Astyanax mexicanus: one gene and its partners. The protein of the gene in region 2 interacts with the protein of the main gene of each other region in a biochemical or structural test. Links are inferred from orthologs where the notes say so. Each region holds a gene or a part of one and is shown on either strand. Other genes may lie near its edges. The genes, in order: ptpn6, lcp2a, nck1b and itk.

What was found.
Region 1: the proteins of lcp2a (region 2) and ptpn6 form a complex in vitro, tested with the Homo sapiens proteins (2 studies listed by BioGRID). The link is inferred for Astyanax mexicanus from reciprocal best matches to the Homo sapiens genes LCP2 and PTPN6.
Region 3: the proteins of lcp2a (region 2) and nck1b form a complex in vitro, tested with the Homo sapiens proteins (2 studies listed by BioGRID and IntAct, with this or other methods). The link is inferred for Astyanax mexicanus from reciprocal best matches to the Homo sapiens genes LCP2 and NCK1.
Region 4: the proteins of lcp2a (region 2) and itk form a complex in vitro, tested with the Homo sapiens proteins (2 studies listed by BioGRID, with this or other methods). The link is inferred for Astyanax mexicanus from reciprocal best matches to the Homo sapiens genes LCP2 and ITK.

The regions. Positions count from the first base shown.
Region 1 is NC_064413.1:26,348,552-26,356,798, reverse strand, and holds the start of ptpn6 (tyrosine-protein phosphatase non-receptor type 6), read left to right. Parts: upstream 1-4,930; 5' UTR 4,931-5,070; intron 5,071-5,205; exon of another isoform or gene 5,206-5,395; intron 5,396-8,247. Other genes in the region: chd4b (chromodomain-helicase-DNA-binding protein 4), read left to right, coding at 431-563, 648-843, 2,421-2,596. UniProt on the Homo sapiens protein: Tyrosine phosphatase enzyme that plays important roles in controlling immune signaling pathways and fundamental physiological processes such as hematopoiesis.
Region 2 is NC_064424.1:10,749,763-10,757,530, reverse strand, and holds the start of lcp2a (lymphocyte cytosolic protein 2a), read left to right. Parts: upstream 1-4,091; 5' UTR 4,092-4,585; coding exon 4,586-4,663; intron 4,664-5,053; coding exon 5,054-5,116; intron 5,117-6,651; coding exon 6,652-6,698; intron 6,699-7,427; coding exon 7,428-7,493; intron 7,494-7,593; coding exon 7,594-7,622; intron 7,623-7,768. UniProt on the Homo sapiens protein: Adapter protein primarily involved in signaling pathways within T-cells, as well as other immune cells such as platelets, mast cells, and natural killer (NK) cells.
Region 3 is NC_064413.1:49,211,483-49,220,101, forward strand, and holds the start of nck1b (cytoplasmic protein NCK1), read left to right. Parts: upstream 1-5,055; 5' UTR 5,056-5,221; intron 5,222-8,619. UniProt on the Homo sapiens protein: Adapter protein which associates with tyrosine-phosphorylated growth factor receptors, such as KDR and PDGFRB, or their cellular substrates. Maintains low levels of EIF2S1 phosphorylation by promoting its dephosphorylation by PP1.
Region 4 is NC_064417.1:49,419,963-49,427,923, reverse strand, and holds the start of itk (tyrosine-protein kinase ITK/TSK), read left to right. Parts: upstream 1-4,724; 5' UTR 4,725-4,821; coding exon 4,822-4,977; intron 4,978-7,961. Other genes in the region: med7 (mediator of RNA polymerase II transcription subunit 7), read right to left, coding at 121-864. UniProt on the Homo sapiens protein: Tyrosine kinase that plays an essential role in regulation of the adaptive immune response. Regulates the development, function and differentiation of conventional T-cells and nonconventional NKT-cells.

The DNA of each region.
Region 1 (8,247 bases), on a different chromosome or scaffold from region 2:
GCCCTGCTAATACTAATGTTTTGACCAGCACAATTTATGGCTTATTTAATAATACTGTTAATCACGTAACTAACCTGTATGTCACCCAAGAATGACAAACTGTCCAGTCTACTAATGGTATTAAATAAAAAATTTAAGTGATACAGACAATGCTATTTATTTCGTGCACAGTGGTAAATAGAAACTAACGGAGCAGTCAGCCAGTTACATTCTCATTTCAAGTTGGTGGGACCAGTTTCATTTGAATCAGAATATATATTTATCTTCTTAACGACAGAGAGAGGCCTTAGATAAAGATCAGTGTGGCTGGGGTGGGGACTGTGTTATTCACAGCTCTGACACTCTTGCCTGTGCTCTTCTGCTCTGTCTCAGTACTCTCACTGCAGTATATGCCACTGCTGTTATGATCTTTGACTCTGCGTGCTCTTAGACATGGCTATGCTCGGTGGCAGGATGTTCAGAATGACCCGCGCTATGCCATCCTCAACCAGCCCTTCAAAGGAGAGATGAGCCGTGGAAACTTCCTTGAGATCAAAAACAAGTTTCTCGCTCGCAGGTTTAAGGTACATAACACTCACTGTCTCACTCACTCACTTGAACACATTCATGTACGCTGCTGGTACTACAGAGATTTTGTTTTCCCCCAGCTGTTGGAGCAGGCGCTGGTGATAGAAGAGCAGCTGCGTAGAGCGGCATATCTTAACATGACGGAAGACCCATCCCACCCTTCTATGGCCCTCAACACTCGCTTCAGTGAGGTGGAGTGTCTGGCTGAGTCCCACCAGCACCTCAGCAAGGAGTCCATGTCTGGAAATAAACCTGCTAACGCTGTACTGCACAAAGGTACATCAATATTGTGCCTGTGTGCTAGACTAGAAACACATGGCACACCAATTGCAGCTTTTCACACAGCGATGCAGGTACTTAAACAAATTCCATTAAATAACTTAAATAACTAGATTTTTTACGCTTAAGACTCTTGTAACTAACGTAACTGTACATTAAGCCTTATTATGCCAAAGTTAGTTCAGACTCTGCAATGTGATTGGCTGAGATTTTTAGTCTTACTAAGCATTGTAAATAGAAAAAAAAGATTGTTTTACATGTTTTAGAAATAATTATCTTATACAGTCTTACTTAGAATTTTCACCTTATTTTAAGTATTTTTAACTCAAAATTAACACTAAAATTCACCAGTCAAGTTATTCTGATACAAGTGTAGACATTTAAGCTAGAAAATATTTATTTTGCTTGATTTAAGTCTTACTTCACTCATTTTGAGGCTTTGTCATTGCTTATTTTAAGAAAACATTATAAAAAAAATTGCTTACATCATTGGCAGATTTAATTTAAGCATTTATGTCTCCATTTAAATAGATTTTATCTAGTTTTTGCCAATGGATTTTTTTGCAGTGTATCCTTCAGGCACAGTGCATAAACGCCATCTCTCCAATAGGCGGTGCAGGCAAAGACACGGTTCACACAAATAAACAAACTTAGCAATTCAAAAAAATATATGTATTTTAACAAACATTATCAGCCATCAATATCAGGATAGGAGTTGATATCATATTAGTTAATATAGGGTATTTTAAGTGAAATTTAAGGTAGCGAAAAATAGGGGTCCCCATGTAATTCCGCAGGTCTCGCCGCTGGGGGGCGTCGAAGTAAACAAAACTTTAATTCTTAAGTCAAACGAGCACTGGACTTAAATCTACACAGATTTCTCTTCTAAAAAAACATTTATTTAGGCGAGTAAAGCTTTTATATTTATTTACAATAAGCTTAGATTTCCACAATTTTGACTGAAATGGCCGAAAATAGAGGCCACCACGCTAACCTAGCAACAGTGCAGCGCGTGTTTATAACCAAACAGATTGTATTTTCTCTCATCCTCTTTAACTCAAAATATTTTAATAAACAGCAATGATGGAACTTTGGGATGGTGCGATTAACATGTAATATTGGCACTGCTGGCACATCTACAGGTCTGCGACGGCTGCACAGCAGTGCCAGCAGTCCCTCCCTTGTATTATTGCTTAATTATAAACAGAAACATGCATTAAAAGAGAGGTCGAATTTTGGCAGGCAGAATTCAGCATAACATCTGGAAAGGCAACTCGTCAAACTGGCAACATTCTACGAATCAATCAGTGCTTGTTTATAGAGAGGTGCAGCCCACATTGGTTGATGAGGACAGGACATAAGTTATTTCCTGTGCTCTTTAAACTGCAGTGTATACATGTATACAGTGTAACAAAACGGACTTTGGTCTGGTCTTTTAATGTGTGAAAACGCCCTTAACGTTTTAAATAGACACAGAGATACACAGTCTCTGAAGATGCTCATTAGAGATCTATCAGGGATGCTTAGATACTTTTATTTTGTCATAAATTGAACTCTCTCTTCATTTTTCTTAGTTCTTAAGCAACTGGAGGAGCTGCTCAGTGACATGAAGGCTGACGTCACCCGCCTCCCAGCCACCATCGCCCGGATACCACCGGTCGCTGTGCGCCTGCAGATGTCAGAGCGGAGCATCCTTAGCCGTCTGGCCAGCCGTGGGCCAGAGGTTACACAGACGCAGGCACCCCGCTGAGCCCCAGATGACCTTTTGACCCTTACATCCCTTAGGCTCTGCCCTGATCCGGAATAGCTTCACCCAGTCGTTCCCTCTTGTGCTGGATCAGGTTACCCAGAGTACTGTACAGAGAGTCCTCCCTGCTGTTAGAATGAAAAGAGAGAAAGAATTTTCCACTGTAACATAACTGTGTCCCTCCATAACACTTCTCCTTACAAGCTCCCCAACCTGAATAGCACTAAAACAGCTCAGAGTGACCTTCCTCTCACTACCCTCCCAAGCATCTCTGCGGCCAGTGATCAGACTTAGAGCTTTGCGAGGATTCCTTGTCTCACATTGTGTCGTTATCATAATAACCTCAGGCAACTCTGACTTCTCATTCCTGTCTTTACACTAATACAACTGACCTGTAAAATACAGTGCGTATTGGCATCTTGAGGCCTGTGCATTGAGATTTTCAGGTCACATAGCTTGTGGGATTGTTTGCTGAAAAAAAATGCCACTCAAATGTATACAGAAGTTCCACAAAAATAAAATATATCACATCGCCACTGTTCTGTCTTGATGTAAGATATTTTATTAATGTGAAATGTATGTACACATTTGAATCAAATAACTACATAGTTTTTTTCAGTGCATTAGAATACACTCAAACACCCTCACACTATAACGGTTTATATGAGCTCAGACATCTCTAAACAGAGATTTCCTTAGCAAACCATGTTTAAAAAAAACTCTTTCCTGTTCGCAATCCTCCGTCCAACCCACCTCACATCATTCCTGAGTGGTCCCCAGATGGTGTCACAGACTGTCAACATCATAAGCCACAGTCCCTTCTCCAGCCCACAATCAGAAAACACAACTGGGATGATGACAGGATGACGTTTAAAACAAGGCTGATTTTCCACATTCAAAACGTTTGATTAGCTCACTTTGTAAGTATTGTTGTTGCCCTGGTATTGTTTATACATATATTCTTTCTGGATTTTGACCTACATACAATTAAAATAATTAACAAAAAGGTTTGTCTGGATATTATGAGTGCTTTTTAATGAATATTTGTCTATTGTGTTCTTAAGGGGAAGGAGCTGCAAAGCACAAGATAGTTGTGTGTTGTATTCTACAATTTGTTATTCAGCACATTAGACATAAATTAAGATTAAGAGTAAGTTGAAGTGAGGAGAGAATGAGCACAAAAGTATATTTAATAATATTTGGAAAAAGTGGGTTCTGTTCTTCAGAAATATATTAGAACTTTTTTTGTGTGTGTGATCCGGTATGCTGCTTTAGTCTGGTGGAGGGTCCAGTTGGAAATGTTTTTAATAACACATTTGTACAATATTAACTGCCTTTACAATGTCATATGTTACTTTACAACACGGGTAATGCCCTGCTAAGTGCAGTTCAGTCACTGACCTAGTCTTATAGTCTCTATAAAACACGAAATCCACCGGAGATCCTATGTAAACTTAGTTACTTACACAAAGAGTTGGGTAGTCCAGGTCCAGAAAGTAAAAATCCACCCTGGGGTTTTGTTGGCTGAGCCACAGCAGAGCCCAGGCAGTTGGAACAAAACCTTGAGGCGGATTGTTGTGTAAACAGAACTGTTTAAAACATATACCTACCTATCTTAATTGTACTTCGCTGATGGTGTTTCATAGACCATTCGTTCCTTAGCTCTGAATTACTGGGCAAATCATATAACACTGATGTGTTATTTTTACAAATAACACAGGAACTACCATGTTGTTCCTGATGCTGTTAGCTTCTGTCTGACAAAATGGCATCCCTGCTTGGCTTCAGCTCTTCCTGTGGGCGGTCGCGAGTCAAGGCGGGTGAGGCCATGAATAATAACCTAAGTCACAGGTTGACGTAGACACAGTGCTTTTTCTAATAGACTGAATATTATTTTCTGAACATTTTCTTTTACTAGCAGACAATGGAGTTTAAAGAAGAGTTTTATGTGCAGCATGCATATACAACTCGGAGAGACCTATTGTATTTCACAAAGAAAAAGTGGATTTTAGTTTAATAAATCATTATGTTAATATAATATGTTGTCTCTTTAATTTAATAAAGCTAAACTCAGTTTAATAAATCATTCTGTTAATATAATATGTTGTTTCCTTAATTTAATAAATCTTCCCTCTGTTTAATAAAGCGATTAATTATCTTATTAAATTATTTTGTAGAGTGTAGAGGGGGTGATTAACTGGTGTATGTCTGTGAATATGTTTTGGTATTTGAAGGGTTTGGTTTTTCAGCATATCTGTAGAATTAGGTTTTCACCTGGGCGAGTCTGGACAGGTCCTGTGTGTGGAGCACAGTGTGGGTTGGAGTGACCCGGATGACTCAGGCTGGAGACTGGAGGGAGAGAAGCGGTCAGTGAGGAGAAATATTAGCTCACCGTGTTACAGAATGATCTACCTCCACAGAGTTCCACTGACAGCTGCTCCAAACACACACACCAGGTACACTCCTCACTCCTCCAGGTGAGACAGAGGTGTGTGGTTGAGAGCGAGCGCGCGTGCGTGTGTGTTTGCTGACTAGGAAGAAGATTTGGAGGCTTTTTTTGGCTCTCAGGCAAAACACGGCAATTTGGGAAAATTACAGGGTGGAGAAGTGTAATCATGCTGCTCTGATCTCTTATCACAACCACCGTTTACATACAGAGAGGGAGAGAGGAGCTCTTCTGAGCGCTATAGGTTATAGTGATCGTAGTGCACTATGTAAATGTAGTATATGAAGCTCCTCGCTGTGCAGGTGTGTGTGTGTGTGTGTGTGTGTTGACCCGCTGATGAAGAAAGCTCGGTGGTGGTGAGTCTGCTGCTGCTGTTGTTGTTGTTTCTTTCTGTTTAGTGAGTATATGTAGTAAGACTGCTGTTGTGTGTCGCAGTGACTCTGCAGTGTGTGTTCTGTGTCTCTCTGATTCTGAGGGAATTAACGTTAGTTAATTCTGTTTCAGTGTGTAGCTGTGTGTGCTCTGAACAGGTCTAGTCTAGCTCTGGCTCTGGCTAACTAACTTTCTAGCGGTGTCTGCAGCGGGAAGTTCTCTGTTGGAGGGGTAACTTTCTTTTTAATTTAAGTTTTAAACTATCCTTTTACTAAATCCGGTTACACCACAGACCCCTATGTCGTGTCTTAACTAGTAGCAAACTAACTCACGCGCAGAGTTACTGTCGCTTTTACATGACGAAAACAAGCGTGTAGCATGTCAATCAATGCCATGGAAACGTGGTTGTCAGCCAGCGCAGATGTTTTTGTTTTTATTATTTACGGGGAAATTATATATTATTAATGTTATTATTCCACATTATATATATATATATATATATATATATATATATATATATATATATATATATATATATATATATATACTTATATACGTATATATATATATATATATATATATATATATATATATATATATATATACATCTGAATCTAATAACACATACACATGTACTGTATGTATAACTGTTACACGTACTGTTAATCTCAGTTTCGAAACCAAAGACGGTTACAACAAGTTCACTAATTTCTTTTGATTTTCTCTCAAAGAAGTCTTTATTTTAAAGAAATTGTTGACAGTATGTTCAAATAATTGATAATTTTGTTTTTAAATCACTTTATATTAATGTACATTGTATTTCTCCTAAAAGATGCAATGCTATTTTTATTTTTTCAAGAAGACCCAAATCTGAAATTGATTAAAAAAAAAGTGTTTTACATTCACTAATATTGTTCCCTGGTTAAACAATAAAGCAATAAAGCAGAGGACAATACTTATTCCTATTACTGGAACTCACTCCTGTTACTGACAGTCACGCCTGTTACTCTTTATGTTATAAGTAACAGGAATGAGTTTTTATCTTAGAATTAGAAATTCTAAAATTAGAAATTACATTATTTTAAAAATAAACAAATAATATCTAAGAATTAACTTAGGTAACAGGACAGAGTGTTGAGATTGACCTCCTCAATCATAATTACACTATCAAATATACAGAAAAACAAATAAGGGAACTTTAATTTTGGTCTTCCCATGATCTCCAGAAGAACCAACTGATGGAACTTCCTGATGTAGATGTGACTTGTAGTATGTCTCAAATGTTTCAGATGGGGTAATGTGTTACGATAACAGGACTGAGTAAAACCCAGGGACACTACTAAAATTTCTATTTTAACTTAAATAGTATGGGGAAATTTGAAAGTCTATGTAGGTCACAATTTTTGAGATACAAAGACGAAATACGGCTGGTTTATACAACTTATCGCGTTCTTTCCGACAATATGCTTCACGAAATTATACGTCGTACGGTTTTCGTACAATTATCGTACAAAGTTTCCCCATAGGAATGAATGGGGGGCCCAGAGTTCCATCTCGCACACGAGCAGCTCTGCGCACGGAACCCCTTCTCTCCCCTGCTCCTCCAGTACTGTGAGTGTATGGAGGAGCTGCTGTATGGAGCAGCTATCAGTCAAAAGTTTGGACACCCCGGCACCCCAGCCAGGGCTTTGCAACCACCTATTAACTGCTTAGCAACAACTTAGCAACCACCTGGAAAACGTTAGCAACTGCCTAGCAACCAGTTAGCAATACCTTAGCAACCACTAGGAAAAGTTAGAAACTGCCTAGCAACAGCTTAGCAACCACTTTAGAAATGAAAGCAACTGCCTAGCAACCACTTAGCAACCACTTAGCAACCACGTTAAAAACGATAGCAACTGCCTAGCAACCACTTAGCAACACCTTAACAACCACTAGGAAAACATTAGCAACTGCTTAGCAACCACTTTAGAAATTATAGCAACTGCCTAGCAACCACTTAGCAACCACCTGGAATATGTTAGCAACTGCCTAGCTACCAGTTTGCTACACCTTAGCAACCACCTGGAAAACGTTATCAACTGCATAGCAACCACTTAGCAACCACTCTAGAAATGATAGCAACTGCCTAGCAACCAAATAGCAACAGCTTAGCAACCACCTGAAAAACGTTAGCAACTGCCTAGCAACCACTTAGCAATCATGTGGAATATGTTAGCAACTGCCTAGCAACCACTTAGCAACCAATTTAGAAATGATAGTAAGTGCGTAGCAACCACTTAGCAACACCTTAGCAACCAACTGGAAAACGTTAGCAACTGCCTAGCAACAGCTTAGCAACCACTTTAGAAATGACAGCAACTGCCTAGCAACCACTTAGTAACCACGTGGAATATGTTAGCAACTGCCTAGCAACCACTTTAGAAATTATAGAAACTGCCTAGCAACCACTAAGCAACCACTTAGCAACCACATGGAAAACGTTAGCAACTGCCTAGCAACCACTTAGCAACCACTTTAGAAACACCTTAGCAACCGCATAGCAACACCTTAGCAACCACATAGCAACCACCTAGCAACACCTTAGCAACCACCCCAGATACCATAGCAACACCTTAGCAACCACCTAGCAACACCTTAGCAACCACCTAGCAACACCTTAGCAACCACCCTGGATACCATAGCAACACCCTAGCAACCACCTAGCAACACCTTAGCAACCACCCTGGATACCATAGCAACACCTTAGCAACCGCATAGCAACACCTTAGCAACCACCTAGCAACACCTTAGCAACCACCCCGGATACCATAGCAACACCTTAGCAACCGCATAG
Region 2 (7,768 bases):
TAAACAAACCTCTCTTAATGATCTTTCTCAGAACTGTTCATTTCATTGTGGCTCTAAAACTATTAAATTTAATTAAATTACATTTACCTAATATAAATTAGCTTTGGCTGAGTGGTTAAGGAGTTATTGTTGATCACTTATTCAGTGACAGGCTGGAATTTTTACCTGCAGTAACAAGCCAACACTGATAAGTAATACACTTTAATAAATGTTTTGACTATTTATCATAGTTATATGACTAATGAAAAATTATATTTTTCCAGCTTAATCACTTTTTATTTTCATTATATAGTTGCATGCATTTTTCCACCCCATCATGACAGGATGGAGAGGTTATGGTTTAATTAAGCTAATAAAAAAATAAAACTCATATTATTAATTGTTGAACGTGCAGCAGGAGTCTTCAGTCCCTTAAAAACGGAAACAGTACAACCGTACTTTCTTAAAGTGGTGTGGTTGTTCCAAGATGACAGGGCATTGTTGAAAATGTTTAAATGCTTGATTTTCTTTTTACAAAAAAAGCTGTTTTCATTATTTAAATGTCTAAATTATTAAAAATCTTAATGAGTTATTCAACTTAATCAGGCAGCACTGTGGACATGGCAAAACCTCACCCCACATTAAATAAATCTGTATAAAATGTTTAAAATTTAACTTTAAAGTAAAAATTAACATTTTAGGGGACTTGTAATGTGTTAATTCAGAGTAAATCAGATGAAAACACTGTAATGCTTTCTTAATGATGATTTTTTTTTTATCATAACACTCTTATCACCATGTGATGGCGCTATTGTTTACCTATATGGTTCTGAAGACAACTGGTAAACCACAGGACTGTGCTTATTTAGATACAATTCATTCAGTGCCCTTAAGTTAAATTCCTGATCTGAACACATGAATCTAAACCCAGCATTTCTTTTGAAACTATAAAAGACACTGTAAGCAACTGTAACTGTAAACAACTGTATGACTCTGACAGTTGACCTTTTCTTTCTGATCTAGTTTAAGTACACCCACCTACAATACCAGTATACATTCAGCATCGACTGGAGTTCACAGGAAGTGGAAATTGTTATAGCGAATGACATAGAAAGTTAAAAGTTTTTGGGACGTGCAAATTTCAGATTGCATTGCTGGGAATAAACATAAATAAAGCCAAATAGTGAGACACTTCAAGTGTCATAAGTTTCCACTAGCAATCGTGGGGCCTGGGGGAAAAAAAAATGAAAGCTCAGACTTTCCAAGTGTGGGTGCTTTTTGGTTTGGCCTACTTTGATTACCACCTGACTTACTTACTTTTTAATGAGCTAATAATAGCTGTGGTTTTGTATAGACACCAACTACCTGCTCAAAAAAAAAACAACACTTGAATGCTCTAATACAGTGTGTCCAAATGTTTGTAGACACCCCTTCTACAGGGTTCGTGCGGGTGCTTGAAATCCTGGAAAATGCTTGGATTTTAACAGTCTGTTTTCCAGGCCTGGAAAGTGTTGAAATTTTAGAGAAAGTGCTTGAAAATGCTTGAAATTCTGACTACATTTACTATACAATAAATAATTATCTGACTAAATAAGTTTGCTTAAAGAAAAAATTGCAGAACGTAAAAGGAAAAAGGCTTTAATTTCTTCTCCTTCTGATATTACCAAACAATTCTGTTTGCATTTACGTAAACATAATACACTGCATCTCTTGCAGTGTGACAAAAAGCAAATCAATAATTTTGAGTATATGTATGTATAAATGGTCTCAACTCATCCCAGAATTTGATATACTACAGTAACTGCTCAATCAAATGAAAAGGGTAACATGCGGTGAAAAACATTGATAGTTACATTGTGTAAAACTGCCATTAATAAATCCATAATTTTTGCTATTTACTTACCTAGAACTATTTTTTTCCTCAGTGGCATAGTGTGGAGAATAGATTTGCTTTTGCAATGTATTGATTATCGCTGAATCACAGTGTTGAGATATCACCGTCATCATTAATTTACCACAGCTGAAAGGTGCAGGAAAAACTTGAAAATGGGCCTTGAAAGTTCTTAAAAAGTGCTTTAATTTTAGCTTGTAAAAGGTGTTTAAACTCTGCTTCTAGTAAAATGAATTCAGCTGCACCCATTGTTGACACTGTGGTGCAAATGCGTGCACACAGCTTGTCCAGTCCCTGTAGCCTATAGACAATACAATAGTACTCTGTGGAGCCGGTACACATTAACCTATTTGTATCATGCCTTATGTCAGAAAGGAGTATAAAAGTCTCACATGCATTGCCCTGTTGAGTGGTGGAATTGTGTTCTCTGTAATAATAATGCTCCATTCATACATTGATTAGTGGAGGAGGTTTTGGTGATCATCCAAGCCTCCTGTCCTCTGTAGTGTTTGTGTTGCTGAATGCTCTAAAATCTAGTAGAAAGCCTTCCCAGTAGAGTAGACAGTTTCTCCAATAAAAGCAGCAAAGGCTTTAAAAGTACTGACATTCATTACTCAAGTAGAAGTATAGATATTGGGGTTTAAAAATACTTCTGTAGAAGCTGAAGTATCAACTTAAGCTTTAAAGTGTAAAAGTATACAAGTTAATGTAAGGGAACAAAATGCTAAAATAAGGGGGGGAAATAAGGATAAAAGCTTAGACCATGCCACAGGATCCTACAGTGCAATAAAATAGGTGTGAAAAAAATACTCTAGTAAAGTATAGATAACCAACATTTCTACTTAAGTAAGCTAAGCAAGTATTTATATTTGTTGTATTTACTTGACACATTTAAAAAAGTATCCCTGTTGTTATTATTATTATTATTATTAAAACAGGACAATAAAATCTATTTTGCTAAGAACAAATGAAATGTGATGTATGAGAGCAGAGTCTATATTTATCTGCAGTTATTTAAAATTGATATTTAGATGTTTAATTCAATAGAATGGCTTGTTCTAAATATAACAAAGTAAAGCCACATTTTAGGCATGCTGCACCAAATCAGAAAAAAAATAAAGGTATGATTACAAGGACGTTTTGCAGGATATGGCAATAAACCGTCCGCTAATTGCTAAGCTAGCCTACTGTTTAAGCTACCAAATAAAGCATTTAAACCTTATCTCTTTTTACACTTTAATAATAAATAATTCTTACATTAATAGTTAAAAAACTATTTTTGCTATCACTAGTTTTTCTGTGCTACAACCAGCCAGTTATTACAAAACAAATTAAAAAAACAATTAATGGACTGGCTAGCTACATTTTTCATTAGCATCTTTAGTTAGCATCGCATGAAAATCTGTTTTACAACATGAAAATGTTTAAGAACCTTAATAAGTTTATCTATTTTAAAGTAATATGTTTAGCTAGCCATCACAGTTTGTAGTGTTGTAATTGAGAGGTGCTTGTCAGCTCCCCTAGCCAGAATATAACCCATTTATTATATCTGACAGTGATGTATGATGTATTATTAGAGCTAACATAGCTAGATAAATGTAGGCTACAGGAAGAGGCCAACTTAATGGTTTGAATGGTTTTCTTTTTTATAAAACATGTCTTATTTGTGTGAAATGGTGCAAATACATCTGTTGGATGGGAACTACATTTGCTTCCACTTTCTGCCCACACCTACACACAACCACAAGCAATGGCTGATTGCTTTATAATGGCTGGTCATATGAAGTTGTTTCACTCCAGTAAAGGGTTGCCTGGCAGTTTATTTAGGATTTATGATTAAAAGGCATATATTTGGGCATTTCTATTTATTAGGATATTTATAGCATTTATAGAAAAGAAAATAGACTCAATTCTATCACAAATCTCTAAGATTCATAGCCGTGGGTGGGCTATATGTGGCATCAGACCCCTGCTAAAGTAGCGCTCAGCAACTCAATTGGTGCATGAAGGTCAATATATGTAAGCTTGCTGTAGGTCATGTGGTTAATTGCTTGGTACTGGGCAATACTTAATAAATAATAAAAATGAAAGATGTATACATACTTGCATCCTTTATTAAGTTGAAATTTGTACTGTACAAATAGACATCTAGATGAAATAGTGTGGGTATGCAAACTAAACAGTGAACTGTTCATTTCTTTTTCTCATAAGGGGCTGTACTTCCCCTATTTACCGCGGTGATCAACAGGAAACCTACAGGGAAGTGCTGTCATTCTTTCTTTTCTCAGTGAGCTCAGACAAATCCTGGGTGTTGTTCGCTTTTTAAATATTTACAAATGTAACATAGATGAATTTAGACTATCTTTAAATTGCTTCCTATGTGAACGTACAGGAACATTTTCTCAGCTTCAAACATTTTGGACTTCTTTTTCTTTTCTTTTTTCATGCTGAGCGTTCTGTCAAGAAGACTTACCTTTTTGTGCCGGATTTACGTCTAGAACCTTGCTTGTGGGTGTTTTTCTCCACCCCAAAGTCAGACAGTGTGCTGTTCTTGGTTGCATCGTGGCATGTCAGAGCTAAACATCCTTTCAGCTTCTCAGGAGTCGTGCCTGGCGTGATGAGTACTTGGAGATAAAAAAAAAAGATTTTTTTTTTCATTTTATTTTTGTAGGGTTTTATTTTCATTTAATTTTAGACAGTGGCAAACTTGGAACCATGAGTTTCAACAATATTCCTTCCAAAATGGAGGTCATGAACTGGGATCCTGCTCATTTAGCTGACTTTCTAAGGAGGGTAAGTTAGTTTGTTACTGTTTTAATATGTTTTTTCTATCTTTAAGACCAATTTAAAACTTTAGTACTGACAGTTTTAATATTTGGTTGTTGTTTTTATTGGTGTTGAGTTTGATTTTAATTTTAAACACCTTTAAGTTTAAAGGAGAAGAACTTAATTCAGCAGCGAGGCCTACTGGTTCACATAGGGTAGAAGACATGGTCTAGACATGGTTGCTTTACACATGCAGATTTCACACATTCACATACTGAACATTTCCTCATTAAGCCTGCTTATGTTATGTCACACTTTCTTTGCAGAGTACTGAAAGCGTGATATTTTTCAATGTGTTTAAACTATGTTTTTCCTCTGCGTTACTGAGTGATGTGTTTTTGTCATTTTCATCTACAGCGGGAGCTGACAGGCTGTGATAAAGTAATTATGAAATGCAATATGAATGGACAGAGATTTCTGGTATGTATCTCATTCACTTTCTGAAGACCTTTTTAATTGTATCCATTACTTTTTTCTGTTGGTGTTATGAAAAAAACATGTTAATATATTTAATATTTTCAAAATAAGCCATGTGCATGTTTACGTACCTTTACAAACCTAAATTTAACAATGGATTCAATCACCTGCCGTAAAACTGTCAAATATTTTTTTATATATATATATTTGTTATATTTATATTTTTCTTGATATAAGAAGCATTATCTATAGACAAAATTCCCCTTCACACAGATATGAGTCATTGTTCTATGGCTGCTGCATGTTGTCATGGATTAAGGAAGTGCCATTATTAGAGGTGTCTTTTACATGTTAATATAAAGCTTGATCTGAATGATGATGCGAGAAATACATATATATTATTAAAAAGATTAGAATTATATATACAGCTATGTATTTGGTATCAGCTATGTATTTATGTATCAGTAATAATTATGTCTTGAACACCACTTATATTAGAAAACACAAATGAACAATACTGAATACTGCTTATATGTGCAAATACACTAAAATACCCCCTCCCTCGCAAACGCACACAAATACATATGCATATATGGCTCTGGAAAAAATAAGAGACCACTTCAGCTTCTGAAAAGTCTCTGATTTTGCTATTAATTGGTGTACGTTTGAGTAAAATTAACATTGTTGTTTTATTCTATAAACTATGCATTTCTCCCAAATTCCAAATAAAATATTGGCAGAAAATGAGAAATGGGTGAAATAACAAAAAAGATGCAGAGCTTAAATAATCCAAAGAAAACAAGTTCATATTCAAAAATATGAACATTTTTTCATATTCAGAAATTGAATAAGCCTGTTTTTAATCACAGTTTGCATGCATCTTGACATGTTCTGCTCCACCAGTCTTACACACTGCTTTTGTATAACTTTATGTCACTTCTGGTGCAAAAATTCAGGCAGTTCAGCTTGGTTTGATGGCTTGTAATAATCAAAGAAACTCATAATTTTTAGGTGCTCTCTTATTTTTTCTCTTATGTGTTGTTACTAGCAAAATGTATAATGGATTAAAATTGTATGGCTTTGGCTTACAAGTGACAGTATTAGACATCAGAGACTTATATTTATATGAGATCTTAACGTCGGCAGTAACAGTGTATTTGCTAGCAACACTATATTATAACATTAAATCAGATTTTTATCCACAAAATTATTTAAATACACAATAGAGGGGTGTTGTTTTTGTGTATTGATACATAGATAAGGAGAGTACATAATCTAAAACAAGTTATAAACGTGACTTACAGTGGCAAAACAACATTTAGGAGCCTAATATTTTATTTATAATAATTAGTAGACAAATAATATGTCTTCAGTTTCTGTAGTAACTATTTCTGTAATAGTTACTTATTTATACTTATTTATACTTATTTAATTATTTGTTCTAATGTTTTTTTTTTATGTTTTATGAATTTTATTTGCTTTCAAGTGTATTGTATGCTTGAAATAATAAAAAATCTTTCCTTTCTTTGTGTTTACAGAACATGACAGAAAACGACCTTCAGAAATTTCCTAATCTTTACTCCCCGTGAGTATCCTGCTTCTTTTTAGTTCAGTTTGAGATTTTAGTGCGGTTGTTAAACTTTGTTGAATTTCCTTTTTTATCTATAGTTACGTTTGTTTGTTTTGCATGGGTTGCATTTCCTTTCTAAGCTTTCCATCAAAATGTTGTGACCTTGTAATTGTAGGTGGTCCACGCTGCAGTATGAAGTGTTAACCCTCTTATTATGTGTTTCGGTGCATGCACTCACATTAAGAGGAAGCACTGCTGAAGAAAGATAGTGCAACACATGCAGATGTGGCAGGAACCATTGCACAGCAGAATCATGTGTTACTTCAGTAGTATTTCAGGGAGATGAAATGGCTGAATGTGCAGCATGTTAAGGAACTGAAAATGATTCTGAGAGATAAAGTATCAGAGACTAGACAAAACAGTGGTCATTTTGAAGAGAGTGTCATTAAAAATCACAGTGTATACATGTTTACCTTTAGAACAGTTTTAAGGTACATGGAGGAAAACGATCTATTTTGGTTACCACATCCTGCCGAGCCCTCAGCTCATGCGCCCACCAGTTCCAACTCACAAGACCTGCACATATCGTTCTTATAGTGAGCCGATAGTACACACATGAAGTAAAAAGTCAAAGAATTCAGTTCATTTCACAGGGTAATAATCTGTAATTCTGGGTTTAATAGTGGTAACCAAATATTATGTTTCCTGTGTATCATTTGTATTTCTTTTCTTTCACTTTTGTAGAATTATCTCCAAAATCTGTCGAGAAATCAACAAGAAAGAGGAGAAGAGAAGTATTTTCCCCAAAAGGCAAACACTTTAAAACTCGTTCATAAGTAATCCATGCTTCCTTACTTCAACTTTTAACTTTTTGTTAATAATTATGACTTTTGTTCTATACTTTATATAGGAATCCTGCACCAAAGTTCCAAGAAACAGGTACTGATGATAAGTGTATTTTAATCAGTTACTGTTCTTCATATAACACCTTTAGCCTGTGATAACAAATAGTACTTGAAAAGGCACAGTGGATTGACATTTGTGTAGAATAGAAATAGCTCTTATTAATATTTAGGGCCCTATCT
Region 3 (8,619 bases), on a different chromosome or scaffold from region 2:
GCTGTGTGTTCTCTGGAATTATGGTGGTCTATCCAATACTTTTGAGATTTTGGGGGCATTGGGGAGTTGGGAATGAGGTGGGATGGTGATCATACTCCAACATCCTGACCTCACTAACACTGCTCTTGTTAATGATTTCAATCAAATCCTCACAGCAGTGTTTCCAAATCTAGTAAAAAGCCTTCTTCCTTGGACAGTTGAGACAGTTACTCCAACAAAAGCAGGATAAACTCTTTTAATATCCTTAAATAAGCAGGTGTCCCAGTACTTTTGTCCATATAGTGAACAGTACTGCAGTATACTGAGTACAGTTTATTTGCTTGAGGCAGGAACATTTCTGCATTTCTGTTCCCCTTCAAACACAGCTTGTTCTGTGCTGGCTGTGTTATCTTCAGTCTCTTCTGCTGCTGCTGCTGACGTTTTGCGCCTGCTGTCATGCTGATGGCCTGCGGCAGGCGCTCAAATGAAATTCACGCCATCCTCAGCACTCCCACAGCTGCCTCGGCTACTCCAGCAGCCCACAGCCCTGCCATCCTTTTCTGATTGGCCTTTTTTTTCTCCACCACCACCACAAGCCAAAGCGATTTAGTCTCTGTTCAGCTGCTGGCACCATGCCTGTGTAAGAGCAGTGCTGGTATGACTGCAGTGGTGGAAATGACCAATGGGGTGCTCAAAGGATTTGTTCATTTCATGGTAATGACTGTAACAAGGCCTTTGCCCACCTGCTCCACCAGGCGGCACTTCAGAGACGGGCTGCTCCTCTGTGGTTGAGATGCTGATACTGATCTCTCTGTGTTCTCTCAGTGTTTGGCCTCTTGGGAGCAGAGTGGAGCTGAGCTGCTGAACAGGAATCTGTAGATTCTCACACTTTGTGTTCAGTTTAGTCAGAGTTATGTACAGGTATGCAGTGCTGTGTGTGTTGCATGAATGCTATACTGTACCGTATAAGGATACATCAATACATGATTACTGGGCTTAAAATGACAAGATATATTTTATTGCTATAAAGAATACATTGGAATATTATATAAGACCAATAATGGTCAATAATGGTTACTAATTAGCTTGTAAATGCCTTAAAAATCATTAATAATCAGTTATAACACATACGTAGAAAGGGCAACAATGACCTGTTGTTTGCCAAATAGTGAACCCACAGCTATCTATATTGTTGCCTTTTCTACGTATGTGTTATAACTGATTATTAATGATTTTTAAAGCATTTACAACCTTATTAGTAACCATTAATAAACTAATAGTAAACCATTTATAAACCCTTTATGAAGGTAGTCTTATTTTAAAGTGGTACCCCAATCTGTACTTTTGGCAGTGTGGGCAGTGTGCGAAATCCTGCTGGAAAATGAAATCTGCATAATCTCCATAAACGTTGTCAGCAGAGGGAAGCATGAAGTGTTGTAAGATTTAAAAAAAAAAAAGTATTTTTAATTTTAATGCCTTCCATGATGTATTTACAGTACACACGTGACACTGTGGACCGAAGAACATTAAATCCCTGCACAACTTCAGAAATGGAACATTAGACATGTAGAAATTCCAAAGTCATGAGATAACACTTTGAACACATGGTCAATTTACTGTAAAAACAGTTATCTCATATCTTTTTAGCATGCCAATGTAATAATATTGTCTTACAATATATATTTTTTGTGTGTCAGCAGATCATTGAATCAATTAGCAATATGAAATATTATTTCAAAAATCACAATTTAACAATGATTTCCACTGTTTTTTCGTGCAGGTCTTCTCAATATGGTTCAGGCTAATCAGAGGGAAGCATGAAGTGCTGTAAGATTTTGTAGGAAAACAAAACTGCACTGACTTATACTCATTAGACTTGATAATAAAACACAGTGGATCAACACCAGCAGATGACATGTCTCTCCAAACCATCACTGACCATCAGTAAATTTTGCATTTCATTTATAAATCAAGGGAGCAGAGTCTGGTGGAAGAGTAAAGAGACACACAGTCCAAACTGCTTGAAGTCTAGTGAGAAGTTTCCACCAATCAGTGATGGTTTAGAGGAGAGACATGTCATCTGCTGGTGTTGGTCCACTGTGTTTTATTATCAAGTCAGTGCAGTTTTGATTTCCCTCAAAATCTTACAGTACTTCATGCTTCCCTCTGCTGCTGACAATTTTTATGAAGATGTGGATTTCAATTTTCAGCAGGAGATGGCACACTGCCCACACTTCCAAAAGCACCAATTGGTCTTATATAATATTCTAATTTTCTGAGATACTGATTTGTGTGTTTTCATTGGCTGTCATAAAAGTCATAATCTTTAACCATAAAATAATTACACCATAAAGTAGTTTTATCACTAATATAATTTTTTTCACATTTTAAAGTGAATTACTTTTCAGTGATATTCTAATTTTTTTTGAGGTGCACCTGTAATTAATACTTACAAATTAATTACGTACAAATACTTTTTGCCACATGGTGTACATCTTCCTTAACATTCACCCCCTGGTGTTGTCACCCATTAAATAGGCTGCTTTGCAAACAGGCCTATAATGCGTAATAGCAAGGCTGTAAAAAACAGGCTGTAAATCACAGTTGTTGTTGTCACCATGTTGGCTCATATTTGTGCATGTGGTTGGGTTATGTAAATGATAATGTGCCAAAAGCTTTTACGGATGGAGCAAAATTAGCATTTTAATTTTATAACCTCGAGCTAAAATTCATTAAATCTTCTCTCCACGTCTTTCTGATTAGGATTAGCTCACAGCTAATTAGCTCAGGCTTTATTACAGTGACTCTTCATGTTCCAGACTGTATGAACGGTTCATATGGTTCATACACAGTGTTCATACGTAGCACTATGCTGAGCATGTGTGTGTTTGGGGGAGGTTGGGGGGGGGGGGCTCTAGGACATGTACAGTGGGTCCATCTGTTTGTGCAGGAAACAGATTGCATCCTGGAGTGTGTTCTGCGCCCCTCCATTCGACTCCCTCGATTGTAAGAGGTCGAGGTGTGTATGAACAATATCGCTCACGGATGAGTGAAGATACAGTCAAAACAAATGCAACGATCAACAAGTACGTATTTCTGTTTAATTTAATGGCAAGCGGACAGAGAATAGAGTGGTGGAGGGATGACATGCCGGGTCTATCAAACAGGAAAGATGCTGTAATAACTGGGGTCAAACATGTAGGATATGGCATATTGCCTTATAATGATAACATGACACATAGTCATGCCACATGAAACAGGCCTGCTGCAGAAGCCTCATTTAAACTGATTTGATTTCTTGTCACATTAAATGTGGAGATCTTCAGTCACTCTTTGACATTAAAATGGAAAGTCTGATAAATAAGGCACATAAATAACAAAATAAATTAATAAATATTTAAATAAACAAAGAAACTAATAAATGAAGTTAAATATATAGTGCCTTTCTTGAAACCCAAGGACGCTTAACAATTAATAAGTTTTTACACACAACCATTCATACCCTGCACTCATCCACACACCGATGAGAAGCAGCAGCCAATAGCGCACAGCATACTCTCAACCGGAAACAACCCCAAAGTCCAACTGGAGAACTGCATCGCGCACTACAGCATTTACCCAGGACAGAGCGCCACACATACCTATACATACAGTACATATACAAATCAATTTAGATTTTTTTAATTTTCAATTGTTTTTTCTGGGCAATTTGGAGTATCCCATTTTCTTGATCTTCATTAAGGTTTGGAAAGCTGTAATAATTAATGGTTGGATTTGCTTCTAACAAAACCCTCCATAAAAAGACTATCATCTACTCAACAGAAATTGATTATGCAGAAGAGGTGCTCATTTCTAGTCCTGGAGACCTCCTCTCACCAATTATACGTTGTGTTGTTAGAAAATATAGAAAGTAGTGAATAAATACTGCTTACAGTACACTTTAGTGTAGTTTTTTTTCCAACTAGCTTTAAGGTGTACACAATATGCACATCAATACGCAAAGTAGTATATTTACAACATAATTCAAATGTATTAAAAAGGTGTTTAAAAAACACATACTTAAATCTACTTAAGTTTGCAGAAGTTGTACGAAATAAACTCTCAAAAGCTGCCAAAGCAACAAATAAAAAGTTTACAACAAGTATGTATGTTTATAGTAATAATATAAACAGTCAAATATACTTCTTTACATACAGCTCTGGAAAAAATAAAGAGACGACTTCAGTTTCTGAATCAGCTTTTTTTATTTAGCTATTTATAAGTATATGTTTGAGTAAAATGAACATTGTTGTTTTATTCAGTAAAATACGGACAACAGTTCTCCCAAATTCCAAATAAAAATATTGTAATTTCAAGATTCAGATCCTTTTTTTAATCACAGTTTTCATGCATATTGGCATGTTCTCCTCCACCAGTTTTACACACTGCTTTTGGATAACTTCATGCCACTCCTGGTGCAAAAATTCAAGCAGTTCAGCTTGGTTTGATGGCTTGATTATGTTCCAGAGGTTTTCAATGTGGTAAAATGGAAGAATCTCATAATTTTCAAGTGGCCTCTTATGTTTTTTTCCAGAGCTTTAATTTTGCACATATGCATATTTCCATTTACATAGATATATAACATGTAAGCCACGTGCAAACTGTGTAACATTAAATATTAAAGCTGAGTAAATAAATGAATAAAGGTTTGTTGAAAAAAAAATAGTTTGTTGCCAGAGGGCAACATTATGCCATAGAAAGAGGGTTAAAAAAAACCTTTCCATTGGAAACAAACCTGAAACATGCAGCAGGGCCACGCATCTTTATGATTGACGTACAAATTAGCCAATAAGGGGCGTTCTCTCTCGCTGACAACCAATGAGAATCGAGTCTGAGCGTTCTGACTCCACCCAGTGACAAAAGTTAGCAAGAGGCGGGAATAAGCGTGTAGTGGTCTTTAATGATAGACGCGGGAATCTTCAAATGAGAGGATCTGCTTTTCCATACGCGAACCAATGAGAGTCGGGACTGAATCGGTGGCTTTCCAATGGGAAGTTAGATAGCGGTTGGGGGGCGGGGCTTTGTCCCGCTGGATGTGCTGGAATAGCGTCCCATAAAGGCGAGTGACGGTTGGCTGTAGAGCAGGAGGGCAGCGTTAGCTGAATGTTTAATATAGCGCTATTATTATTGTTTTCTGGATGTTTATGGTTCATAAATCGTGTGAATAAACGTGGGCAATATATTCGGAGAGGCTGGTTTGAAGGTAAGACCTGGAAAAGGTTTATTTAGTAGCTTATTTGAGGCTGTGGTTTGGTTGGATGGCTGTAGTAGTTAGCTAGCTGAGATGCTAACCGCAGACCCCGCTGCTGTTTCTAGCTTTAGTATGAGAAAAACAGGGAAACGGGGTCTTGCTGGGATTAAACCGGATTAAAACGTGTTTTTCTAAATTAAATACACTTTATCGGTCTGTAAATAAGATGGTAAGATGTATGAGAGATGGAGTAGAGGTGAATCACGCCGGCCTGGCACCGTTTAAATCACGGGCTGCTCTGTTTTGTGTTGGTTAGCTGTCATGCTAACCATCATTGCCACTGTTCACTGACCTCAAGCTATTCCTATATACCTACTGTAACTAGGGGTGGGCAGTATTATATCGTATACAATATATCGTCACACAGAAATATCATGGTATTAAAAATCCATGTCGTGATAATAGGGCTGTTCTGTCTTAAAAGTAGTCTATTATTTACTGTGAAGCTTTAAGTGTAACTTAAAAATACCCTGAAATATCGTGATATTATTTTAGAGCCATATCGACCACCCCTAACAGTAACTATAGCTAATGTTACCTATTAACCCATATCTCCCATGTCTTTTATTTAGACATTTCTATATGTTATCCTTAAATTTCATAGCTAAACTATTCCAGTATTATTAGACCAAAATGAGTGAGGCACTAAATAAATATTGGTTGTTGACCTGTGCTGTGTTTTTACTGCCAAATACCAACCACATATCATCACATTAAAGTGTATATATAAGCTATATAGATATATTTAACCTCTCATTTCTGCTGTTAACGCCATATATTTCTATATGAGCTATTCAGGATGTATTCAGATTAGACCCAGCTATGAATCATGTGTAATACAGGATGTTTCATTATATTGCTTAGCTAAAATCTTAGTGAGGATCTAAGTAAATATAAGTTGTTGACCTGTGCTGTGTTTATCCTGTCAAATACCAAATATCACATTAAACTAAAGATGAACTAGTTATACACATTTAACCTCTCATTATACAGACTAGACCTAGTTATACAGTTGTGGTCAAAAGTTTACATACACTTGTAAAAAAACATAATGTTATGGCTGTCTTGAGTTTTCAATAAGTTCTACAACTCTTATTTTTCTGTGATAGAGTGATCGGAACACATACATGTTTGTCACAAAAAACAGTCATAAAATTTGGTTCTTTCATAAATTTATTATGGGTCTGCTGAAAATGTCACCAAATCTGCTGGGTCAAAAATATACATACAGCAACAAAAATTGTCAATTTTGGTGATGTAGCGAGTTGTGTCAATCAGATTAGCTTCATGTCATGGCCTCTTCACTTCTTGTAAGTGATTCTGATTGACTACAGCTGTTGACTTCTCATGAGCCCATTTAAATAGGGCTCATTTGACCCAGTGATTAGACTCAGCTACAAAAGCTACAATGGGAAAGTCAAAGGAACTCAGTGTGGATATGAAAAAGCGAATTATTGACTTGAACAAGTCAGGGAAGTCACTTGGAGCCATTTCAAAGCAGCTACAGGTCCCAAGAGCAACTGTGCAGACAATTATACGCAAGTATAAAGTGCATGGAACAGTTGTGTCACTGCCACGATCAGGAAGAAAACGCAAGCTATCACATGCTGCCGAGAGGAGATTGGTCAGGATGGTCAAGAGTCAACCAAGAATCACCAAGAAGCAGGTCTGCAAGGATTTGGAAGCTGATGGAACACAGGTGTCAGTCTCCACAGTCAAGCGTGTTTTACATCGCCATGGACTGAGAGGCTGCCGTGCAAGAAAGAAGCCCTTGCTCCAGAAAAGGCACCTTAAGACTCGGCTGAAGTTTGCTGCTGATCACATGGACAAAGATAAAACCTTCTGGAGGAAAGTTCTCTGGTCAGACGAAACAAAAATTGAGCTGTTTGGCCACAACACCCAGCAATATGTTTGGAGGAGAAAAGGTGAGGCCTTTAATCCCAGGAACACCATGCCTACTGTCAAGCATGGTGGTGGTAGTATTATGCTCTGGGGATGTTTTGCTGCCAGTGGAACTGGTTCTTTGCAGAAAGTAAATGGGATAATGAAGAAGGAGGATTACCTCCAAATTCTGCAGGAAAACTTAAAACCATCAGCCATCAAGGTTGGGTCTTGGGCGCAGTTGGGTGTTCCAACAAGACAATGACCCAAAACACACATCAAAAGTGGTAAAGGAATGGCTAAACCAGGCTAGAATTAAGGTTTTAGAATGGCCTTCCCAAAGTCCTGACTTAAACCCCATTGAGAACATGTGGACAGTGCTAAAGAAACGGGTTCATGCAAGAAAACCATCACATTTAGCTGAACTGCACCAATTCTGTCAAGAAGAGTGGTCAAACATTCGACCTGAAGCTTGCCAGGAGCTTGTGGATGGCTACCAAAAGCGCCTAGTTGCCGTGAAAATGGCCAAGGGACATGTAACCAAATACTAATGTTGCTGTATGTATATTTTTGACCCAGCAGATTTGGTGACATTTTCAGCAGACCCATAATAAATTTATGAAAGAACCAAATTTTATGACTGTTTTTTTGTGACAAACATGTATGTGTTCCGATCACTCTATCACAGAAAAATAAGAGTTGTAGAACTTATTGAAAACTCAAGACAGCCATAACATTATGTTTTTTTACAAGTGTATGTAAACTTTTGACCACAACTGTACATCATGTGTGATACAGTATATTTCATTACAAAAATATTTAGTGAGGCACAAAATAAAAATGGGTTGTTGAGTTGTGCTGTATTTATCATGCCAAATGTCATTTACAAAGTAAAGCTAACCTATACACATTAAAAAAAAAATCTGCTGTGTGATATGTTCTCATCTATATTTCATAAAAGTGTTTAAGAATATACTCAGACCACATTTAGTGAGACACTTTTTTTTCACATTTAGTGAGACACATATTTTTATATATTTATCTTATGTTTGTCCTGTTAAATGGCATCACATTAAAGTAGTTCAGTAAATCAACATGATTTCTAAAACCACCAACCAGTTGTTGAGAAATGATGCTTCAGACATCATGTTATTGAGACCGTAATGGCAATTGGACCTTTATTCTTTTTTCATGACATTTTGAGTTCAGATGTCATGATATTGAACTGCTGCAATGTGAGTTTTTAAGAATAACTGAAGTTATTTGACGGGATAGGCTTAAGACACATCTCATGAAGTCTCTTAGTCATATTAAGTGGTAGAGAGAGTTTTAAAGGTCATAACTTTAGTACTACACTAATACGTTTGCTATTATTACTTGCAATAATAGCAACTTTTTAGTTGGTATTTCAATACAAGCCTCATTTCAATGCTAACAGTCTTCAGATGTTGTTTAGACTGTGTAGGCAC
Region 4 (7,961 bases), on a different chromosome or scaffold from region 2:
ACTACTTTCTACTTTCAAATTTAGCCTCAAACAGTCAGAAAATTTAATTAACTAAATTAATTGATGAATTTTACACTGAATGAAAAAACAGAAGAAGAAACATCATATATATAAAGCAATTCAAGTCATTTCATCAATAATGCTGCACATCGCAGCGTCTTTATCCCACACTTTCTCCTTCTTTGTGGTTGGAATGTTTTTGTCCGTTTGTCCTGCCATGCAGCTAACGCCCGCCTCCTCCAAATCCATGGGTTCGGTTTTCAGTCTGGACTCGCCTCCCAAACCCGCGGCCCCGCCCAGCCGACCCGCTCCGGCCCCGCCCGCGGCGTCCGGCTGCGGCAGGTCGTCCGGCAGCGAGGCCAGGCAGTTCTGGATCATCTCCACGACTCGCTCCAGGTGCTTCTGGAAGCGCTCGGCCGTCTCCAGCCGCTGCCTCTTCTGCACCTCCATCATCACGCGCAGCGTCTCGCGGGCCTGGTGGGGCCGGTACTCGTTGATGAGGTGATGCATGTGAACGAACAGCAGTTTCAGGTCCTCCAGTTTCTCTTCCCGCTTAATGCTGCCCGGGCTCTTAATCAGAATATCCAGCAGGTCCAGAAAGTTCACCAGGATGGACATGTTGAGCTTTTTCAGTTCCCGCTTGTGGTCGAACTGCATGGGGTGCAGGCGCTCGATGCCCTGGCTCTCCAGGGGCCGGATGATCAGGTCGTCGCACTGGAACTGGTTGCCGAACATGGTGTAATTGTCTCGGATGGGAGGCGGCGGTTTTGGTGCCAGGCCTTTCCGCACGTTCTCGTCCGTGTACTCCTTGATGTACTGCATCGGCGGCAGCGGCAGGGCGCTGACCTGCTGTGGCTCACCCATCCTGAGCGTCTGGAAACGGAGAGAAAACAGAGAAAACAGAAAAGCTTGACATAGTGTACATTTATGCTGATACCAATACAAACATATGACCATTTGAATTAATGAAATAGTGTGTTAAATCCAAATGAATTAGTACAACATAGAAGTATAGTTATTATTTGTTGAGTTTTAGAAACACTTTAACAATTAGAGATAAACCCCGTTAAAAAATGCTTATCTTATATAATAAACAGTATTTGAATCAGTCATGTTAAATGACCAATGCTTCAATAACTGTGACTCCATACATACAGTGTCTTTAAAATATATTGCTTTGTAATTATATTCTGTTATCATTATATCTGTAGCATACATTGGTCTTAAAATGACAATAATATATAGTTTATAGCAATAATTTCTGGTACTGTTTAGACACACCTACTCATTCAATGTTTTCTTAATTACTTTATTTAATTTACACAATTCTACATTGTAGATTAATCTTGATTAAAGACACAAAAACGATTAAGGGACACACATAGAATTACGTAGTAAACATAAAAAAAGTGTTAGTCACCACATTAATCTCCTGATCTAAACCTGATGAACTGAGTTGGTGATTTGAGGTGATTTAAATTGGGATGAGCCTGAGCTGCACAGCGTGAAGAAGGAAAAGCAGCAACTATTGTTCAGCACCTCCAGAAACTCCTTCCTTCAAGACTCTGAGAAAACTATTCCAGGTGACTCTCCCTCATGAAGACACTGAGATTAAAATACTGAGAGTGTGCAGATCTGTCCTCAAAGATAAATGTGATACTTTTGTGCTAAGAATCTAAAGTATAAAACAGATTCTTGTTTGTTTAATACTATTTACTGTTTACAGAATAATTCATACAGCATGCGCTCCAGTAGAGCTTTAATATAGTCTTCAATATTGCAATAGCTATACTATAGTATCTATCCATCCATCCATCCATCCACTAATTACCCTGATACAGCAATTTAGGTTATTCAAATATCATCCGAAACTTCTACTTCTAATACATATTCTAATATTTTGTATTTTACCAGCAAATTTACACTAGGGTATAGGGGTGGGCGATATGGCTCTAAAATAATATCGCGTTATTTCAGAGTATTTTTTGTGATAACGATATACTTGCCGATATAGGAAAACAGAAAAATAATTAATTAATTTCAGGAATATAGAATAACAGTTTAACAGCATAATCATAATGTGGCAAAATAAATCATATAGCATAAAATAATATAATGCAGCAAATAATATTGCAGAATATTTAGTGCATGCATATAAACTGCAAACTGAAACAATTATACAATAAATACACCTAAAGCTTCACAGTAAATAATAGACTAATTTTAAGACAGAACAGCCCAATTATCAAGATATGGATTTTTAATATCACGATATTTCTGTGTCACAATATATTGTACACACCTACTAGGGTAGCATAGTTTTACAATGTTGCTAAAATCGACACAACACAGGTCCCATGCCTATATAATCAACACAGCACATTTTTAAAGTTTTAATCACATTAAATCACTGTTTAACGAGGTTTAGAGTCGTATAAACGCTAAAAATACATTGAAATATATAACTAAATAACCTATATACACATATAACCTATCTAACCCTAAATCTAAAACATTAGCTTTAGCATAGCTTAGCTAGCTCGTCGCTAATGCTAACCTGCTTAGTTAGCATCTAAATAAAAAGTATTTTAAAAGCCCTAAACGCGTGTAAACAGCTCCAGTTACTGCAGTAAATCATACAGAAATTATTACATACCAAACTGCAGCCGAACCGCGCGGAATTCTGTACAGATTATTAATAAAATACAAAATAAACACAACCCAGCCAAGCTCCTGCTCTCATAGCGCCTCCGAGCCCGGACTGTAAGCTGCCTTCTGATTGGACGACACGGGTAAGGGAGGGGAGCTGTGATTGGTGTAGATCATTTAAAGGCGTGTTCAAAACAACAGCGCTGTAAACGTTTTATTTTTTGTAATGTTTTAAAATTAATAATTTTATTTAATAATTATTTGTTTAATTCACGCTATGGTTATTTTATTTTTTATTATGTATTTAACAAACAAGTATACAAATAACGTCAAACAACTGGGTCATCTTAACGTTTAATAATTCAATTTTCTGACCGTTTGAGGATAAATGCAAAATTAGAAAATTGGATGTAAAAGCACATTTTTTTATTTTTTTATGTAGTTTCATCCATTTTTCCAATTTTATTTTTTTCATCTCTGACCCTCACAATCGGAATGTCAGGAAAAAGGAAAAAAAATAATATTTTTTATTTTTTGATTATTCAATTTTAACATTTTACAAAATTAGATGTAAAACTTATTTATTTATTTATTTTTAAAATTCAGTATAGTAAAGAAGAAATGCGTTTTAATCCAGTTTTTCAATTTCTGCCTTTCGTGAACAGAATTTCAGAATTTTTAATTTAAAAAGTGAATCTTTTCTTGATATTCAGATTTTTTCCATTTTTGGATTAAATCTGATGGTGTAATTCAACTAATGTTATTTACAAAATGAAACAATGAAAAAAATCATCCTAAAATTTTCCTAAAATTCTGATTATGAGGGACAGAGAAGAAAAAACTATATATTATAAATAATGGATAAAAACGTCTACACTGCACTAATGTAAACAATTAAATAATGACATTTTTATCCAATTTTAGACTTTTGCACTTAGCCTCAAACAGTCAGAAAATGTAACTGATAATTGTTAAACTAATCAAAAACTGCAAAGCTTAGTTTTGCATCTAAAATTTTTGTTTGTGATTAAAATATTTTGCTAGTAGAATATAAAAGTTTACAATATATTCTAAACGTTTAATCAATGTATTGTTATAATAAAAAATGGTATCTTTATGTATAAAAGTGTGGTTAACATTCATGGGCAATAATGCGTGGCCATGACTTATTAAAATGTAAATTTAGATGTTAATTTCACTAAATGAACATACTTTCACCATTTTGCTCCACTGAACTGTGTTCAAAGTTTAAACATGATTCTCTTGTCATGTTCATCAGTCTAATTTTCTGAGCAAATAAGGCTAAATTTAAAAACATATACAACTGGGTGTAACATCTTTTTACATATTTTCCCCTATTTAGTATAGTGAAGAAGAAATGGGTTTTCTTAGGAAAACAAATTAAAATGAATTAGGTTCCTGCCCTATGATAATACCTTCATTTCTTCCTAAAGTATTTTTCTTCATTTAGTTGAGTAGTTCTTGCTTCTCATAATCTGGATTAGAACATTATTCAAATATTCACTATTTACTGTATACCTGTAACTCTACCTCTTCACTACTTTACAACTGATGCTCTCAAACACATTAACATTAAGAGGCAAGAAATTTGAAAAAGTAGTAATTAACTCTTGATGAGTTCAGCACAGCTGTTAACTGAAAACCTGAAATCCAGGTGACTCTACCTCATAAAGCTGACTGAGAAAATACAGCAGAGATGTGCAAAACTGTCTAATTTAAGCAAGAGGTGCTGATTTGAAGAATGTAAAATATAAACATATTCTGGTTTAACACTGTTTTCTATAATTAATAATTCCATATGTTTTTTTCATGGTTTAGATGAGTTTAGTATTAATCTACAATGCAGAACATTTTAAAATAATGAAAAAAAAAACACTGTATGTAAGTTGTGCCAAACCTTTGACTGGTACTGTATGTATGTGTTTGTATGTGTGTATATATGTGTGTATGTGTGTGTGTGTGAGAGCACACTTGTGTCATATACCTACCTAAGGAAGTGGTTTACCCGGTGTATCTTCTCCGGAAGCCCATAACTCATGATGCACCAGTGTTAGTCTACAGACGCATGATCTCTGTTAGTAACACACACTCCACGGCAGCAGCAGCAGCAGCAGGAATGCCTGAGCCCAGCTCAGCTCCTCCAGCAGACTCATGTACCCTAACCCTAACACGTACCCGCGGGTCATTCTGAAGGGAACTTTATTTAAGAAGTCTCAGCAGAAGCGCAGAACCTCCCCCTGCAATTATAAAGAGCGCTACTTCATACTCAACACTGAGGACCTGACCTATTCAGAGCGTCGCCCTGGGGTGAGTACACTCGCTGCTGTACAATATACATAAATATATATATATATATATATATATATATATATATATATATATATATATATATATATATATATATATGTACATTTTTATTGTGGGAGTAAGATGATATAAAAATGGAGTTACAGCCAGAGCCAAGCCCGAGTCCAGACCAAGACCGGCATACATTGAGTCAGAGTCAAGACCAAGACCGGGCTATATCGAGTCTGAGTCAAGACCAAGACTAGGCTATATCGAGTCTGAGTCCAGACCAAGACCGGGCTATATTGAGTCTGAGTCCAGACCAATACTAGGCTATATCGAGTCTGAGTCCAGACCAAGACCGGGCTATATCAAGTCTGAGTCCAGACCAAGACCGGGCTATATCGAGTCTGAGTCCAGACCAAGACCGGGCTATATCGAGTCTGAGTCCAGACCAAGACCGGGCTATATCGAGTCTGAGTCCAGACCAAGACCGGGCTATATCGAGTCAGAGTCCAGACCAAGACCGGGCTATATCGAGTCTGAGTCCAGACCAAGACCGGGCTATATCGAGTCTGAGTCCAGACCAATACTAGGCTATATCGAGTCTGAGTCCAGACCAAGACCGGGCTATATCAAGTCTGAGTCCAGACCAAGACCGGGCTATATCGAGTCTGAGTCCAGACCAAGACTAGGCTATATCGAGTCTAAGACAAGACCAAGACCTGGCTATATCGAGTCTGAGTCAAGACCAAGAGCGGGCTATATCGATTCTGAGATAAGACCAAGACTGGCTATATCAGGCTATATGAGTCAAGACCAAGATTTGTGGTAATCAAGTCAGCTAGTCAGTGGCCAATACCGATATAAAGATTAATATCCCAAACCAGAAAAAATTATTTCAAACCACTAGAACTGAGTCAAGAACAAGAATCTTAGCAGTCAAATCCGACTTAAAACCAAGACTTATTTTGCAGTCAAGTCTGAGTCAAGACCAATAATTTTTTTTAGACGAGTCCATGTCAAGATCAAGACATTTGGTAATCAAATCCGAATCAAAACCAAGACTTTGAAAGTCAAAACAGAGTCAAGACTAAGACTTTTTTTAGTCAAGTCCGAGTTAAGACGAAGACTTTTGGGAATCAAATCAGAGTCAAGATCAAGACTTTTTTGTAGTCAAGTCTGAATCAAGACCAAGACATTTGGAAATCAAATCCGAGTCAAGACTAAGACATTTTTGTAGTTGAGTCCGAGTCACGACCAAGACTTTTAGGAATTAAATAAGAGTCAAGACCAAGACTTTATTTATTCGAGTGCTAGTCAAGACCAAGACTTTTGGAAATCAAATCCGAGTCAAGACCAATACTTTTTTCTTAGTCGAGTCTGAGTCAAGACCAAAACAACCAAATCAAGACAAATACTTTTTTTTGTAGTCAAGTCTGTGTCATGACCCATACTTTTGGGAATCAAATCCAAGTCAAGGCCAAAACTTTTGGGAATCAAATCGGAAGTCAAGACCAAGACTATTTTGTAGTTGAGTCAGAGTCAAGACCAAGAAATTTGTTGTCAAGTCTAAGTCACGACCAAGACTTTTGGGAATCAAATCAGAGTCAAGACCAAGACTTTTGGGAACCAAGTCCGAATTAAGACAAATATTTTTTGTACTCAAGTAGGTGTCAAGACCAAGATTTTAAGGAATCAAATCCGAGTCAAAACCAAGACTTTTCGTAGTTAAGTCCGAGTCAAGATCAGGTTAAAGATTTTTGTATATAAATATAAAAAGTCAAAACCACTAGAGCCAAGTCTAGACAAGTTTAGACATACACTTTAACATATTGAGTCTGAGTCAAGACCAAAACTTTTGTTAGTTAAGTCAGAGTTAAGACCAAGACTGGGAGATATCAAGTCTGAGTCAAATTCAAGACCAGATAAATATTATTTCATGTAAATATAAAAGACCTCTAGAGCCAAGTCAAGTCTGAGTCATGACCAATTCCAAATGGGATCAAAACTAAGATTGCTTTTTTATGGGAGACCAGACTCGAGTCTTACAACAGTAATTACCAGACAGCATATTTGTACTTTTGGTATATACTTTATGTTACAATAGGAATGTCAGATTTTAACAACAGCAAGACTCAACTATTAAACAGCATGGCTGTAGATATTAGGTAGCGTTTACTGTGGTCTCATATTCAGTATTTTGTGGTGTTATTGAGCAATGCCACAGAAGAAGCATTTTTGAAATTGAGATTCTAAAAGATTTATAGACATGAATGTAAAGGTTCTTCTCGCTCACATTAACTCCTTTTCAGTTAGTTTTCTTCTGTAGTGTTATTAAAATCAGTAAAACAATCATTTTGTATCACCATACTTTTTACAATCTTTTTAAAAATACTTAAAAAACAAACAAATAGACTGAAGCTTTTATTGGGATAACAATACTGAAATAAAGCATGAACTTAATTTGATGTAAGATCAGGCAAGTTGGATTTGGCAAAGGTGTGGCACCTTTTAGATAACTTCGTATAGTCACTCTCCAATGAAAAACAAGTATCTCCATTTTTGTCAATTTTTTGTTTTTCACATAATTTGAACACAAAAACCGTTCATTACACTGTGTCAAGATTTCTTTATGAATGGATCAATATAAGTTCTCCAAAATTAACTGAAATAAACTCTTTATACATTGATGTCCATTAAAGTTAAGAAGGTTTTATCTCTCTCCTGTAAAGTAGCTGATTTAGAGAGTATTTTTTGTTAGACAGCGACGATATGCTGGATAGGGCTTTGAAGTTTAATACTTTGATACTTTTGGTATTTGTTATTGTGTGTTGTATTAAAAATAAACTTTTCTTTATCCTATAGGAACACTCAATCTCAGTCTTTGATCTGTTTTTTATATAAGGACATTCTTGAAATTTTTAAATTTCATCTTGTTTAAAAGTATGCAAATTGGGAAAGACTTTTAGGCATTTAGGAAAAGAATGTTAAGGCTACAGTCT